Linked DNA regions of Drosophila melanogaster. The protein of the gene in region 2 purifies or fractionates together with the protein of the main gene of each other region. This does not show direct contact. Each region holds a gene or a part of one and is shown on either strand. Other genes may lie near its edges.

Region 1 (7,837 bases), on a different chromosome or scaffold from region 2:
CACGTCTGCTCACCGCCAGCGATCGACTGCGTTTAAATTTGGCACTCGCTGCCGCGACTTCGGTTCGAAAATCTCGCGATCGCCTCGAAATGCCTCGCACTCTCTGTTACTCAGCACACACACCCTGTGAATTCAGGCGGCTCTCTCGGCGCGGGCATGCCAACTATGTATGATCGGTGACCGTTATCGCAAATCAGAAATCGACAAATACCCGTACTAAAGTCAAAATCCTCGAGTGCTACATGTGTCTACCAAAAAAATGGTCAGTTTCCAAAAACCTAATCACTCTTAGGATCACCCAATTAATCACCATTAATATGTGATATTTTTGCAGTAACTAGATGTGCTTGTTGATAGTGAGGAAGCCAATCTCAAAAAAAAACCAATTGAACTAACACTTCTTACAATTTAAACTTTTAATTAGAATTTAGAATATAAAATAATATTAAGCTAATTTGGTAACAGTTTCATTTTAAATTTCAACTGTTTTAAGTGCTGTAAAGTGCATAAAGTGTTAACAGGTGGCTCCACGCACAACGCGTTAGTACCTTACCAAATAGCGTTTTCACTGCACCGCTCACCACGGCCACACTCTGCCTTTGTTTTGTTTTGATATTCCCACTGCATCGCATTTAATTTATTAAAAGCTGTTACCAAATTATGTCCTACGCCGGCTATAGCCAGCTGCCCAGCGGCAGCGACCAGGAGCGCAGGCAGGCGCAGCTCGCGGCCAGCACCTACGACGTGCTACAGCGGACGACGGACAGTATCCAGCGATCCAACCAGATTGCCATCGAAACGGAGAACATGGGGGCGGAGGTAATTACCCAGATAGTAGCCATTAACAGGGCTAACTAATGCTCGCTTACGCATCAACAGGTACTCGGCGAACTGGGCGAGCAGAGGGAGTCGCTGCTACGCACCACGCGCCGCCTGGAGGACGCCGATCAGGATCTGTCCAAATCGAGGGTCATCATTCGGAAGTTGAGCAGGGAGGTGCTCTACAACAAGATCATCCTAATCCTGATTATCATTCTGGAGGTGGGCATACTCGTCGGCTTGCTGGTGCTGAAGTTCGCTCACCTGTGAGCCAATGCCATTCTATTCCAAAGTCGTAACCACCAAACAGGCGATGGACTATATATACCTATTAATCGTTACGAATTCTTTGTCCTAGTTAATAAGCTTATAAATGTATATACTCCACTAAAATGCACTTCCAATTCAAAAAGGTCAGTTTTAGGATATACCCAGCGATGAATCGGGTGGTTGATTATGTTTATTCATGTTGGCTAAAGCGTTAATGCCTTAGACGTCTATAATATGTATTATGGTAGTAAAACACAGATAAAATCGGGTCTGGACATCGGAAGCTCTGCACTCCGAAGAGTTTAGCCCAGTCCCAACGCATATACATACGTATGCTATAACAATGATAATATGTAGTTCGTGCAGCACGCTATGCCACGACTATTTGGCAAAAAGCAACGTTAATTACATTCAGTGGGCGACAACGAGATAGTAGAACATCCTGAACAATGTCTGCATAATACTTGATCTATGATAAACGGTTACATATATGTAAGTATGTGGGCATCGCTTTGGGGATGCTTCTTTGTTCGAGAGATGTTTGGGATTTCGCAGAGCTGCGCCTCCTCATTCCTTTGGTGCAGCAGCTCTCCGCTTCAGTTGCCTTCAATTGTCCTTCGGAAGAACGATGGACCAGCCGAAAACGCGGCGATCGAAGCCGCAGGAGAAGAGATCGCAGTCCAGCAGCGGCTCCTCCGCCCACGCTACAGACGACACCATCCGTCGGTGGCCCTGCCGACTGGTCCGTGGCAATCGGGCGACTCTCTGCCCGTTCAAATCGAACAGTCGGATCTGTCGATTGTCATGCGGTATGGCGATAATTCCACCAGTGGAGACCGCCAAACGATTGACCGAGGAATCCGTTCGAATGGTGGCCAAGGCGGATCGCATGTTGCGCAGCTCCCAGACCTTGATTGTACGATCATCTGATCCGGACACCACCTTGTCGTCGCGTGCGAACACACTGGACGTAACCGTTTCCGTGTGCCCTTGGAAGACGGAGACCGCTGGGATTGCCTCTCGGAAGTCCCATAGACGGAACGTAGTGTCCCTGGAAGCGGTGACCACCAGGCGCTGGGTGGGATGTGCCGACACGTGGGTGAGCTCGTGGTCGTGCCCAGTGAGCGGCTGCAGTGGCAGGCCAGTCTCCACGTCCCACAGGATGGCAGTCCGATCCCAGCTGCCCGTGATGATTTGATCCATCGAAGAGAGCCAATCGGCGGCCACCACGACTGAAAGATGACCGCCGGGGCCTGTGAACTCGCAGAGCGGAGTGCGTAAGGTGTCCACACGATCGCGATCTTCCACCTGCTCATCACTGTCGTCCAGTTCCTCCTCTGAAGAATGGCCCTTCCTGAAAATCATGCAACGATTATTGAACTACTATAAAATATATTGCAAAGTTACTCACTTGGGCACTTCCCAGTTGACGGCCGCCTGCCAGATGTGGGCAGTACCATCCCCGCTGCCGGTGAGCACAAGATCTCGCTGCTGATGGAACTTGATGGAGTTTACGGAGCCGGCGTGCCCTTGGTACTGCAAAAGGCACCTGGCGCTCTCCACGCCCCAGATGCAGGCCGTATGATCGGCGGAGGCGGTGCCAATGATGGGTTGTCCCGCCTTGGCGGCAACCTGCCAGATGCCATCCTTGTGGCCGCCGAATTCTCGGACCACCGTGCTGACCACTGTGGGCGCCTTAAAGCTGGACACAATGCGGCTGGTTTGGGCCTTGATCTTGTTGCTGGCCTTGGCTTTGCTGCCGCCGGTAGCGCTGCTTAGTTTGGCCTTCAAGCTCTTGTGTGTACTGGATGCTGCAGCCAGGAAGCTGCCCGCCACCTCATCCGTCTGGGTTGCAGGCGTGGCCAAAGCTGCGGATGAGGCCTGAGTGCTCATTGAACCTCCTGCTGCGGATCTGGCATCGGGTGGAATCAATGACTCCTTGGTGGTGGTGGCTATGTCTAGCTTCTCCTGCACTATAACAGAGAATAGGCTTTAATCATGCGTGCACTATACAAAATTTGACATATGTAAGCAATAAATATTAAAGTTTATGAACGAGACCTTAAGGAGTTGTGGATTATATAGCTACTTACGGGCCTGGTTCTCCAGATACAGCTGCTCGAACTCCCGCTCGATCTGGGCGAAGAGGACGTGCAGGCGTGCACGGAATGGTGCATCTTCCGGTACGGCGGCCACGTCCTCCGTCAAACTGGTGAGGCGCACAGCCCGTGTCTTGCTAGCCTTCATGCTTTTCTTTTCGCCTCTTTGTTGTGTATCTCGCAAGTGATTTTCTGAGCCGAGCTGGTCGGCGATATCCGTTTCCTGGTGGGCAGAGCGCCCGGGGGAATCCAATTAGTGTTCAGGGGTTGCAGACTCGCGCTCTATTGATCCATCTTCCGCTGCTGGCGATGCATTTGCCTCTTTGGCTGACTGGGGAACTGCTGTTGCACTTGGTTTTCGCAATGATAATATACTTATTGCAGGTGTTTTTGTGCGCGGGGGGAGCGGGCGGAACAGCTGGTGTGTGTATCGAGTGTTATCGATGTGCGATTATCGCACAGTCGGACTGTGGCACACTGAGAGCAAATTGAACAAATTAAAATAAAATAATTTTGAAATTGCAGTTTACATATTAAATATATTTATATCATAAAAACGAAAAATCCTGTAAAAATTAACTGAAAATTCATTATATGTTATGAATTAGTTTAGAAAAATTTTCAACAAAAACACATCTATAAAAATGTACAATTAACAAAGTTTTTTTTTTAGTGCACTTTGGTTTGAGTACTAGTGTTGAGAAACAATTAGTTAATTTTGCTGACTTTCAAATCTGACACGTGAAGGTAAATAAATTCAAATAGAAATGTAACTATGGATCAGCGCTTTCCTGTAATTATTTATTAGGGTTGATTATCTTGTATAACCCTTTGAAACGGAAGCATTATCCTTAATCAACACTGTGTACTTGAACAGCTGTTTGGCCCGTAGTTGTAGGTACTATTTTTGAAAACACCATTGGGAGTTCCCACAAGACAAACAAATCCGTGCACCGTTGTATTGGATTCCAATCGAACAGCTGACATACCTTCGGGCCCGTTAGTTTTCCCGATCGCCCTGCATATGATACCATATCTCCCATTACAGCGCTGCAGCCCAATCAAACCGGTTTGTCGCCTTTCGACTTTTCGGTGGTCTCAGTTCACATCCATTTCCCCAACCAGTCCAATTGCTTTTATCTTGCTCCTCGAGTGTTAACGAAATTGCTTAAATCCACCCACATTCATCCTTTCATTCAGTTCGGCCTGGGAGTAGCAGCATGAAAAACGTTTTGGATGTCATGTCGATGCAGCAGCACGTGGAGTTGAACAAGGCGCAGACCATGAAGCCCATCGACTATCGGTAAGTTGAATGATCCAATCTAAAGATACCACCAATATATACATATCTGTGCCATCTGTGCCGCAGCAAAATGAACAAACCCGGCGTGGTGCCGATGTACATCTTTGAGTGCGCTGCCAAGTTGAAAATGAAACCGCTGACGGCGGCCTGTGCGGCCATAGTGTTCCATCGCTTCTTCCGCGAGGTCAAGGCCAGCGACTACGATGAGTTCGTGAGTAATATATGCCCCCAAAACGACCCCATCTCATGAGAAACTTTCTGGAATCCACAGCTCATTGCCGCGGGCTCGCTGTACTTGGCTGGCAAAATTAAGGAAGACGAAAGTGTCAAGATACGCGATGTCATCAACGTGGCATACTGCACCCTTAACCGGGGCAATGATCCAGTCGACCTGAACGATGAGTACTGGTCGATGCGGGATGCCATTGTCCAGGCTGAGCTGCTCATCACGCGCACCCTGTGCTTCGATCTCAACATAGATCTGGCCCACAAGTACTTACTCCACTACATGAAGACCCTACAAGACTGGGTGGGCACTGAGGTGTGGAACTCGGTGCCCATTGCCAAGGCAGCCGCCTCGTATCTGCAAGACTTTCACCACAGCGCCAATATCCTCAAGTACAAGCCCACCCATGTGGCCATTGGGTGCCTGTCGCTGGCCCTCCAGACCTACGGCATCCAGGTGCCGCTAACCGACGAGTCCGACGAATCCGCCATGTGGTACAAGCCCTTGGTCAAGGACTTCACCCGAGAGAACCAGTGGGAGATCATCGAGAACGTGATCGAGGTCTACAAGAACGAGGGCTTCCTGAATGCCACCTAATCGCTGAGAGAGACTGCCAAAACCATTCCTTCTGCCATCTGAACTTATTTATTTTCCCCTCGCCACCTCATAAACCAATCTCAGATACTACTAGACGTACATATGCTCAAATGTCCAATGCATTTACATCATGCCCTTGCCAAAACAAATAAATTGACCGGTAATGAAATGCTTATGTGATCGACGGGCGAAAGTACATTTACCTATCAGCGAAGACGATAGATCTAAAGTTTACAACTTATTTATACACTGATTCAATAAACAATTGTTCTGTGAAAAATGATATTGTTAATGGGTCTTTGGAGTTGTGAAATGCTTTAAGATTCTGAGGAAAAGCAAAAAGGTGTTTGGCGCTTTTATTTCAATCAAATTCATTATACTTTTAAGCTGTTAAAAGTTTTACAAAAAAATATTACACTTTATCAAACAAATTTAAATAAATCGCTCTGTATTTGATTAAATTCCGGGATGGGTGGCAACCCTTAGCCCCAGCCCAGCAGTGTTGACTAACGCAGGCATGTACAAAAACAATGCTAGTTCGTAAACAAAACATATTTTTTATACATTACTTGGCCAGAGCGAAAAAACAAGGACAATATGCGTAAGACGTGGGTGAAGCGAGAGAATATATACTTCAAGCCCTTCTACAAGCAGAAGTCGAAGATGTTCCTGCTGCTGATCTTCCTGGTCGGAATTTCGTTCATCGCGTATCAGGTGAGAGTCTCGCAAGGATTTTCCTGTGCACGGTGTTTAATGTGTAAACAATAACGATAGGCCTTCTCGCTGAACCAGCTGCCCGGAGTGCCTGCTCCGTGGAATCTGCAGCAGATCAAGCGCAAGCACCAGCAGATGATGCAGTCCCTGGGCAGCAAACAGCGCGACGTGGACGATTTCGATGGCGGAGGCGCCGATGCAGTTGCTCCGGCAGGCGGGGAAACCTCACCTGTTGCGGGTCACGAGGATCCCATCAAGATTGTCAGGTGTGTAGTAGATGCATTGTTGCTGGCTTGGGAAAATTCCTCATCCTCGTCTTTATCCTTTAGGGGCACACGGCTCTTCGACTACGACGCCTACAAGCCCAACTTCGAGGGCAAGTTCCGGTGTCTGGACGGCTCCAAAGAGATCCCGTTCGACCACCTGAACGACAACTACTGCGACTGTGAGGAGGACGGCAGCGACGAGCCCAGCACGAATGCCTGCGCCAAGGGGCGATTCTACTGTCGCTACCAGAAGCGTCACATCACGGGCCGGGGCCTGGATATCTACGTGGCCAGCAGCCGCATTAATGACCACGTGTGCGACTGCTGCGACGGCAGCGATGAGTGGAGCACGGCGACCAAGTGTCCCAACGACTGTGCGTAGTCGCAGGCCGACGGGACCCCGTTCCCACTCCCATTCCTCTTCCATCTCCTCCACCTGTGCACCTAGGACACCAATCTCAAGGATGAAGATGTCGGGCGGCGCATCACAAGCGATATTTTTTGTACGAGTACAATAGAATTGTAATTTATTTTAAAATAAGTAGATTGAATAAAAGAAACGAATTCCAAGAAACACAATGTGGCCTGTTCCAGTTTTCACATTCAAAGAATCTGATGGATTTAATGTGTACAATTTGTTTAAAACTATGTTTAATTTGGTGCCAGAGGAGCAGCTGCAAGATTAGATCTTTGTGGACATGTGAAAAAAAGAAGCTGCCATTTTATCCATATATGCTTATTCATTTTATTACCAGACTCACAAAAATCAGTAGAATTTACATTGGGAATTCCTTTTTTGTTTTGTTTTCTTTTTTTTGCTCGACTTTCTCTGCGCGATTTTTGGTTTCGAATTCGCAGCGTTTTCATTTATAATGTTCAATTTACATCTACGACCGTCTGTAATTTTAGTTAATATGGTTCTTCTTGCCTAAAAATGTTTTGTGCAGTTTAATCCGTAAAATGTACATCGACAAACTCTAAAGCAATTTTGAACTGCAAATTCTACAAGGTACGAAATTTTGTGTGTAATTAATTTTTCCCTTATATGCACAGTACGTCTCACTGGATTTTCTCTTGGTTTGCTTTCTTGGCTGGCTTTCTTGTCTTGTTTTGGATGATAAGCGGAAGCGGTAATGATCTCCACATCGATATACATAATTAGTTTAAGGAACGCGCGCCATCGCATTTACAATTACTTCTCGGATCTGAATTGGCAAAATTCACTTTATTCACTTGCATTTGCATTGAGTACTTCTTCTTTGACTTGCCCAGCACAATCAGAGAAAACTACGTCGTCTATGCCTGGACGAGCTGATTGCTATATTGCTATCGACGCTCTCGTCTCACAAATTTGATACTTTGCCCCCAGTTTGCGATGGAAACTGGGGATCAACCTAAGTAAAGTACATTTGTTGTTGTGGCTTGCTTTTTGCCAGTTGCAACTTAAAGTTAGCTTACGTACGCTAAGTAATACTTAATCAGAGGGCTTTGTGGGTGTGTGTGATTTAGATTTTAGGCTGGTTAGATTAATGCGTCTGTGCGG
Region 2 (5,833 bases):
ATTTTAAATGTATGAATGCTTTTTGACATTCATCTGTCCACTCGAATGGAACATTCTTTTTACATAATCTTGTTATGTGCCGCGAATAGTCGGCGAAATTTTTGATAAAACGTCTGTAGTAATTGCAAAATGCTACAAAACGTCTAGCGCTGTCCGCATCATGTGGAACTGGGTAGTTCTGAATGACATCATATTTTTTGTCATCCGGCAAAATTCCTTTGTCTGTGCATTTGTGTCCCAAAAATGTGACTTCATGCATGAAAAATGAACATTTTTCAGGATGTAACTTTAGGTTGTATTCCCTGCATTTACCAAAAACTTCAGTGAGGTTTTTAAGCATATGTTTTTCGGAACAACCTATGACTATTAAGTCATCCATATAAAGGAATGCTTGAGACGGTTCTATTCCGGAGAATGCTATAGTCATCATTCTTTGGAATGAATTAGGCGCTATTTTTAAGCCAAATGGCAATCGCGTGAAACGATATGAGCCATTGCTGGTTGAGAAAGATGTTATATCTCTCGAGCCTTCATCCAGTTCGATTTGATGAAAACCTGACATTAAATCAAGGCAGGAGAAATATTTTGCTCGACCAAGTTGGTCCAAAATATCATCTATTCTCGGTAGTGGAAATTTGTCAGCTAAAAGTTTCTTATTAATTTGGCGATAGTCTATTACTAATCTCCATTTCTTTTTATCAGAATTCGGGCTTGACTTTTTGGGTACTAATAGCAAAGGGCTATTGTACTGTGAAACTGATGGTTCAACTATTTTATCTTTTATTAATTTCTGAACTTGGGCTTGTATTTCTTCCACTTGACTATGAGGACTTCTATAATTTTTCGTGTATACTGGCTCATCATCTTTTAATCTCAACTGTTGTTTATACAAATTATTAACTGTTATAGGTTCTGATTCTAATGCAAATATATCTATATATTCGCTGCATATATTTTCTAATTGTGATTTAAACAATTCGGGGAAATTTTTCTTTAATTGAGATAAGACAGTTTTATTTCTGTGTTCACTATTTGCCTGAACTACATTGTAGTTCGAAAGTGGCTCATATTTTAGAGTGTCCATGACGTAACGCGACGACGACTGGTGGGACTGAGTGGAAAACACAGCTACGGCGCGTAACTCTGGTCTGGTGGAAATGCGGCGCACGAATTTCACGCATTTCCCTTTTCAAAAAAGAGCAGCGAGCAATGCGTGAGCGAGACGGGTAAAGTTGGCGGCGAACAGCTGTGGAATACCAAAAAAAAAAAATACCAAATAACGCCTTACTCACGACAGTGTGACCTTGCTGTGCGTTTTCTGGTCATCTTATTGATTTTCCACTTGTTGCTGCTGCTGTATCTTTTTGTAGCGAATAAAAAGCTATATCTGCACGCTGAAGCTTAAACTCGACTTGAAATTCATTCTCCCGATTATTACCGGTAGAACTGGTCTTGCGGTTAAAAACCCCAGCTGCGTTCAAAGCTCCCGCACGATTTTGACTCACCAAAATCGGTGTTCTCGTGTTTTTCTCGCATTTAGTTAAATTGCAACTTTAAAACTGGCAGCACGCATCATGTCCGCAGGTCGAGTGGTTATTTACGGTGGCAAAGGAGCCTTGGGTTCGGCCTGTGTCGATCACTTTAAAGCCAACAATTATGTGAGTTACCTTTCACTTAATTATTAAATACAATTGCCTCATTATCTATTGTTTTCCCTCGCGTCAACTACGACCTTCACCTGGATAATCCATCAGTGGGTTGGCAGCATCGATCTGACGGAGAACGAGAAGGCCGACGTTAGCATTGTGGTGCCACGCGATGCTAGTTGGGTGGAACAGGAGGAAACGGTGGTGTCCAAAGTCGGGGAATCCCTTGCCGGCGAGAAACTGGATGCCGTCATCTGCGTGGCTGGCGGCTGGGCAGGTGGTAATGCCAAGAAGGATCTGGCCAAGAATGCCGATCTCATGTGGAAGCAGAGCGTGTTGACCTCCGCCATTTCGGCAGCTGTGGCTGCTCAGCATCTAAAGGCCGGAGGCTTGCTGGCTCTCACTGGAGCTAAGCCCGCTTTGGAGGGCACACCCGGTATGATCGGCTATGGAATGGCCAAGGCAGCTGTCCACCAGCTGACCCGCTCGCTGGGCGCTGAGAAATCCGGTCTGCCAGCTGGTTCCCTGGCTGTGTCCATACTTCCCGTAACTCTAGATACACCCATGAACCGTAAATGGATGCCGGATGCAGATTTTGGAACCTGGACACCGCTCACCGAGGTGGCCGGACTTTTCCTTAAGTGGACCCAAGATCAGGAGAGGCCCAAAACTGGATCCCTGTTGCAGCTGATCACCACAAACGGCATTACGCAGCTTATCGCTGCCGAATAGGCTAAGAGATACAGATACGAATCCAAATGACACTTAATGATGAAACAAAAATGCTCAAAAACCATAATCTAAACGCTTTCGCTTGTACATAAACTATTCATAAATAAATCGCTGGGCGGCTTTCGATCGTTTAATGTGGTTCTGCTTACACGATTTGGGTGGATAACCTCTTGAACTCGGGAGCTTAACGAGCGTTTAAAGCTTGCTTAGAGTACAATCTTTAGTTTGCTTAGTTTGGAAATTGTTTCTACGACTTCTTCTTCTTCATAATCTTCATGAATAAAACCATACCTGTAAATTGAAAGGGTAATAAACTCATTAGTATAATTAAGCAGCAACAATCGAACTGCAATAAATCGAACCAATTAAGAAATGTAATTTCAAACTGAGTCACGGCAAACTTGTTTATTTGGCTTAAGTGAAGTGACTCGCAGTGTTTTCGTATTCAGTTTAAATACAATAATAATAGCAATGGAATCTAATATCTATTTATCTGTTTTCGTTCTTATAATGAATATTTATAATATTGTGATTAACATATTCAGGAAACTTGGTTTATAAACGTGTTTAAATGTGTGTTGTTGAGTTGGATAACTTAAGGTATATTTGTTAAGTAAATGAATTGGGATTTTCCAAGAGGGGTTCTTTTTTGCAGCTTGAACAAAACTTCCACAAAATACAATGACTCACCTATAAAAGTGGCAATTACGAAGGCAATCATCAGCCACAGCCAGCACTTGTAGGCTTTTTTCGAATGTTGCTCCAGTTTCTCAGCCTCTTTTCCTAGCGAATTGATATTGCGATCCGCCATTCCGGCGGAACGCGACACAACCTCCGTGTCTCTTCGGATAATCCTGTTGGCGGTCTCCGTCTGTTCCTTTAAGTTCCGAGTCAGCGAGAGCATGTGCTCGGTGATCTTCTCCTGGGCATTCGTATAATACTTGGCAGCCTGGTTCATGTTTTCACCAGAAGTTTCCTGAACGTTTGCGCTTCCAGAACTGGAGGAGGATTCATCTGCTCCTCGACGTCTTCGCAGGGCATCGGAATCTAAAATAAATGTTTTTTAAGTTATGAACTATTACATTTTTGAATTTAAGAAATTTTAAAATATGTACAAAACTGTTTGTTAATTCTTTATTACCCTGGAGCAGTTCCTTTCGCAGTTCGTTGTGATATTTGCTGTTTTGCAGCTGCCTTATTTCTTTCAGTGCATTTTCCCCAGTTTCGCTGACGGCTGAGGATTGTGAAGGAGTCTTTGTTGTGGAACCGGGAACGTCTGCATATCCGGTGGATATTTTAAGGGCCTGTAGGCGCTCCAAGTAGCCCGGGATACGTTTGACACTCTGCGGATCGCCCATCGCCTCCAGCTCGGCAAGCATTGTGTCCAGGGACTTAATGAACTTCTGCAGCCTCCAGAAGTTCTGTTCGCTTTTGGCCAGTTCCTCGCAGTTGGCCAGCAGGGTGCGAATATTTACATTTAGCTTCGTGGCCATTTTCAAGTTGAAAACATGAAAACAACAAAGTACAAATTCCTAAATTAAAATACCAGGTCGAAACCTATTTGTTGTCAGCAGCTGGTCCTATTAGCGATAGAAACTTATCGATAGGTTGTCGTGAGTAGTGATGAAAAATTATTGAGGATGTGTATGTAAAATGTAAGAATGTAAAAATGTATAAAGTAAAAAAAACATAACAAACAAATAATCTTCTAATCCTGTTAAAATTTAATTTTTAAAAATTTTTGAAAAAAAACATCAAGTTCCCAATATGCCATATTTATAAGCTTATGTCTACTTTCTCAAGATAACGTAATGCATTTATATTATTGCATGCATACTTCTGGGCGCGACTCGAAAATCTTATCAAACCTCTTGGCCAATATCTGAAGTTATCAATTAAACCGTTTTTGATAGCCACAGCATATGAGTAGTTTCACGCAAACGCACATTTTTGTTTTAGCTGTTGTCGTACGCCAGGTGTCAAGATCAAATGGCATACCATTCAAAGGTTGAATTTTTATAGTAGTTTTTTTTTCTTCATTTTCCTTAAGTGCCGTTACACGCAAGTGAGGTGTTATCAAACAGCTGACGGGGCAAAAACAATAAAACTCACCCTCTTTGTTAACGGTACTAGAGGCCATGAATGAAACACGACTTCGTTCTCTCTCGACTTTCTCTCACCGCTCTCTTTGGCGGTCTCTTCTTGCGCAGCAGCACCAGCAGTTAACGGTGCATGTTGAAAAGTTCTCACACAAACGTCGTGAAAATCGAAATCGATAAGTAAGCAACGGATTTTAGCTGCCCAGAAAAAGACCACAAATTTCAGTGAAAACCCAGCGATAAGAATCCCAAAAAGTACTAATCCAGCTGAAAAACAACCATCTTAACCGGCCATGTCCAAAAAAAGTGTTAGCCAAGTGTTTTGAATAACGTAGTTGGTGTAAATGCTTAAAAAAAATAAGCTAGTCCGGGGCCAGAGAAATCGATACGATACCCCCAAAAAAAGGGGGGCTGCTGCGTGGGCTGCCCGAGTGAAAATTTCCAGCTAAAAATAGTACTAGATTTGAGCTTGAAGAAAACCCTTGATTTCCTTTGCGTTTCGATGTCAGTTATCATTGCATTTCAGTTACATAAGTTTTGAGACCCGTTGCTGCGTAGCGAACCTATTAACGGCTTAAGGACCACACAACCACCCACATGTACCACCAACACCACCCATTTACACAGCCAAAAATAATCGGAAAATATATATATATAATAAATATCAGTAGGGCTACATTTTATCTAATCTTTAATTTGATAATGTTAGATTCTTTGATATAAGTCATGGCGTTAAAAATAAATCTCCCCTTTTAAGCCACTGAAATATAAATTTTTTTATATTAAAAAAATAAGATGGGATCTTAAATATCGTATCGTATTTTAATACCCGTATATCATATCCTCTCATAAAGCAATCATACTATTTACAGTTGCTAGAGGTAATGTAACACCATTAAGTCGGAGCTAAAATAGAAAAAAAAAGCCAATTGTAGAGTGACCCGATTGTCGTAGAAAAAGCCCCATGATGCAGCCGCCGCCGCGTAAGGTAAATCATAAATAAATCGAATTGATAAAGATAGTTCCACAATAATCATTCATCGTATACCTCGTAATCCTGCAGGGAAACTATGTGAAATTCCTCAAGAATTTGCACACGGAGCAGGTGGCCAAGCTGCAGCTGAAGAATCAGCATGAATGCGACCTCCTGGAGGACATCCGGCAGTTCACCATCAAGCGTTCCGCTGTCGAGAAGTCATACAGTGAGTCGCTGCTGAAGATCTCATCGCAGTATCTCAACAAGAAGATACCCAATATACCAGATATTAAGATGGAGGGCATGGAGGAACGCTGGTGGGTATTGCTTTCCAGCTAACTAGTAACGTTCTTTCGAGAACCTTCAGTCAATTTGAATTA

What was found. Proteins that work in one complex are often made in the same cells at the same time.
Region 1: the proteins of Use1 (region 2) and koko purify together in Drosophila melanogaster (affinity purification with mass spectrometry, with the first as the bait; one large-scale study listed by BioGRID). This does not show direct contact.

The regions. Positions count from the first base shown.
Region 1 is NT_033777.3:18,399,132-18,406,968, forward strand, and holds koko (kokopelli), read left to right. Parts: upstream 1-3,894; 5' UTR 3,895-3,935; intron 3,936-4,091; exon of another isoform or gene 4,092-4,388; 5' UTR 4,389-4,408; coding exon 4,409-4,491; intron 4,492-4,557; coding exon 4,558-4,702; intron 4,703-4,762; coding exon 4,763-5,314; 3' UTR 5,315-5,595; downstream 5,596-7,837. Other genes in the region: Vti1b (vesicle transport through interaction with t-SNAREs 1b), read left to right, coding at 661-819, 880-1,089; Wdr37 (WD repeat domain 37), read right to left, coding at 1,696-2,443, 2,501-3,062, 3,183-3,336; CG7685 (uncharacterized protein), read left to right, coding at 5,912-6,028, 6,089-6,294, 6,358-6,676.
Region 2 is NT_037436.4:9,133,233-9,139,065, forward strand, and holds Use1 (unconventional SNARE in the ER 1), read right to left. Parts: upstream 3,950-5,833; 5' UTR 3,872-3,949; coding exon 3,520-3,871; intron 3,426-3,519; coding exon 3,069-3,425; intron 2,685-3,068; exon of another isoform or gene 2,670-2,684; coding exon 2,626-2,669; 3' UTR 2,477-2,625; downstream 1-2,476. Other genes in the region: Dhpr (dihydropteridine reductase), read left to right, coding at 1,575-1,658, 1,755-2,378; nwk (nervous wreck), read left to right, coding at 5,445-5,465, 5,541-5,770. UniProt on the Drosophila melanogaster protein: SNARE that may be involved in targeting and fusion of Golgi-derived retrograde transport vesicles with the ER. Required for protein secretion.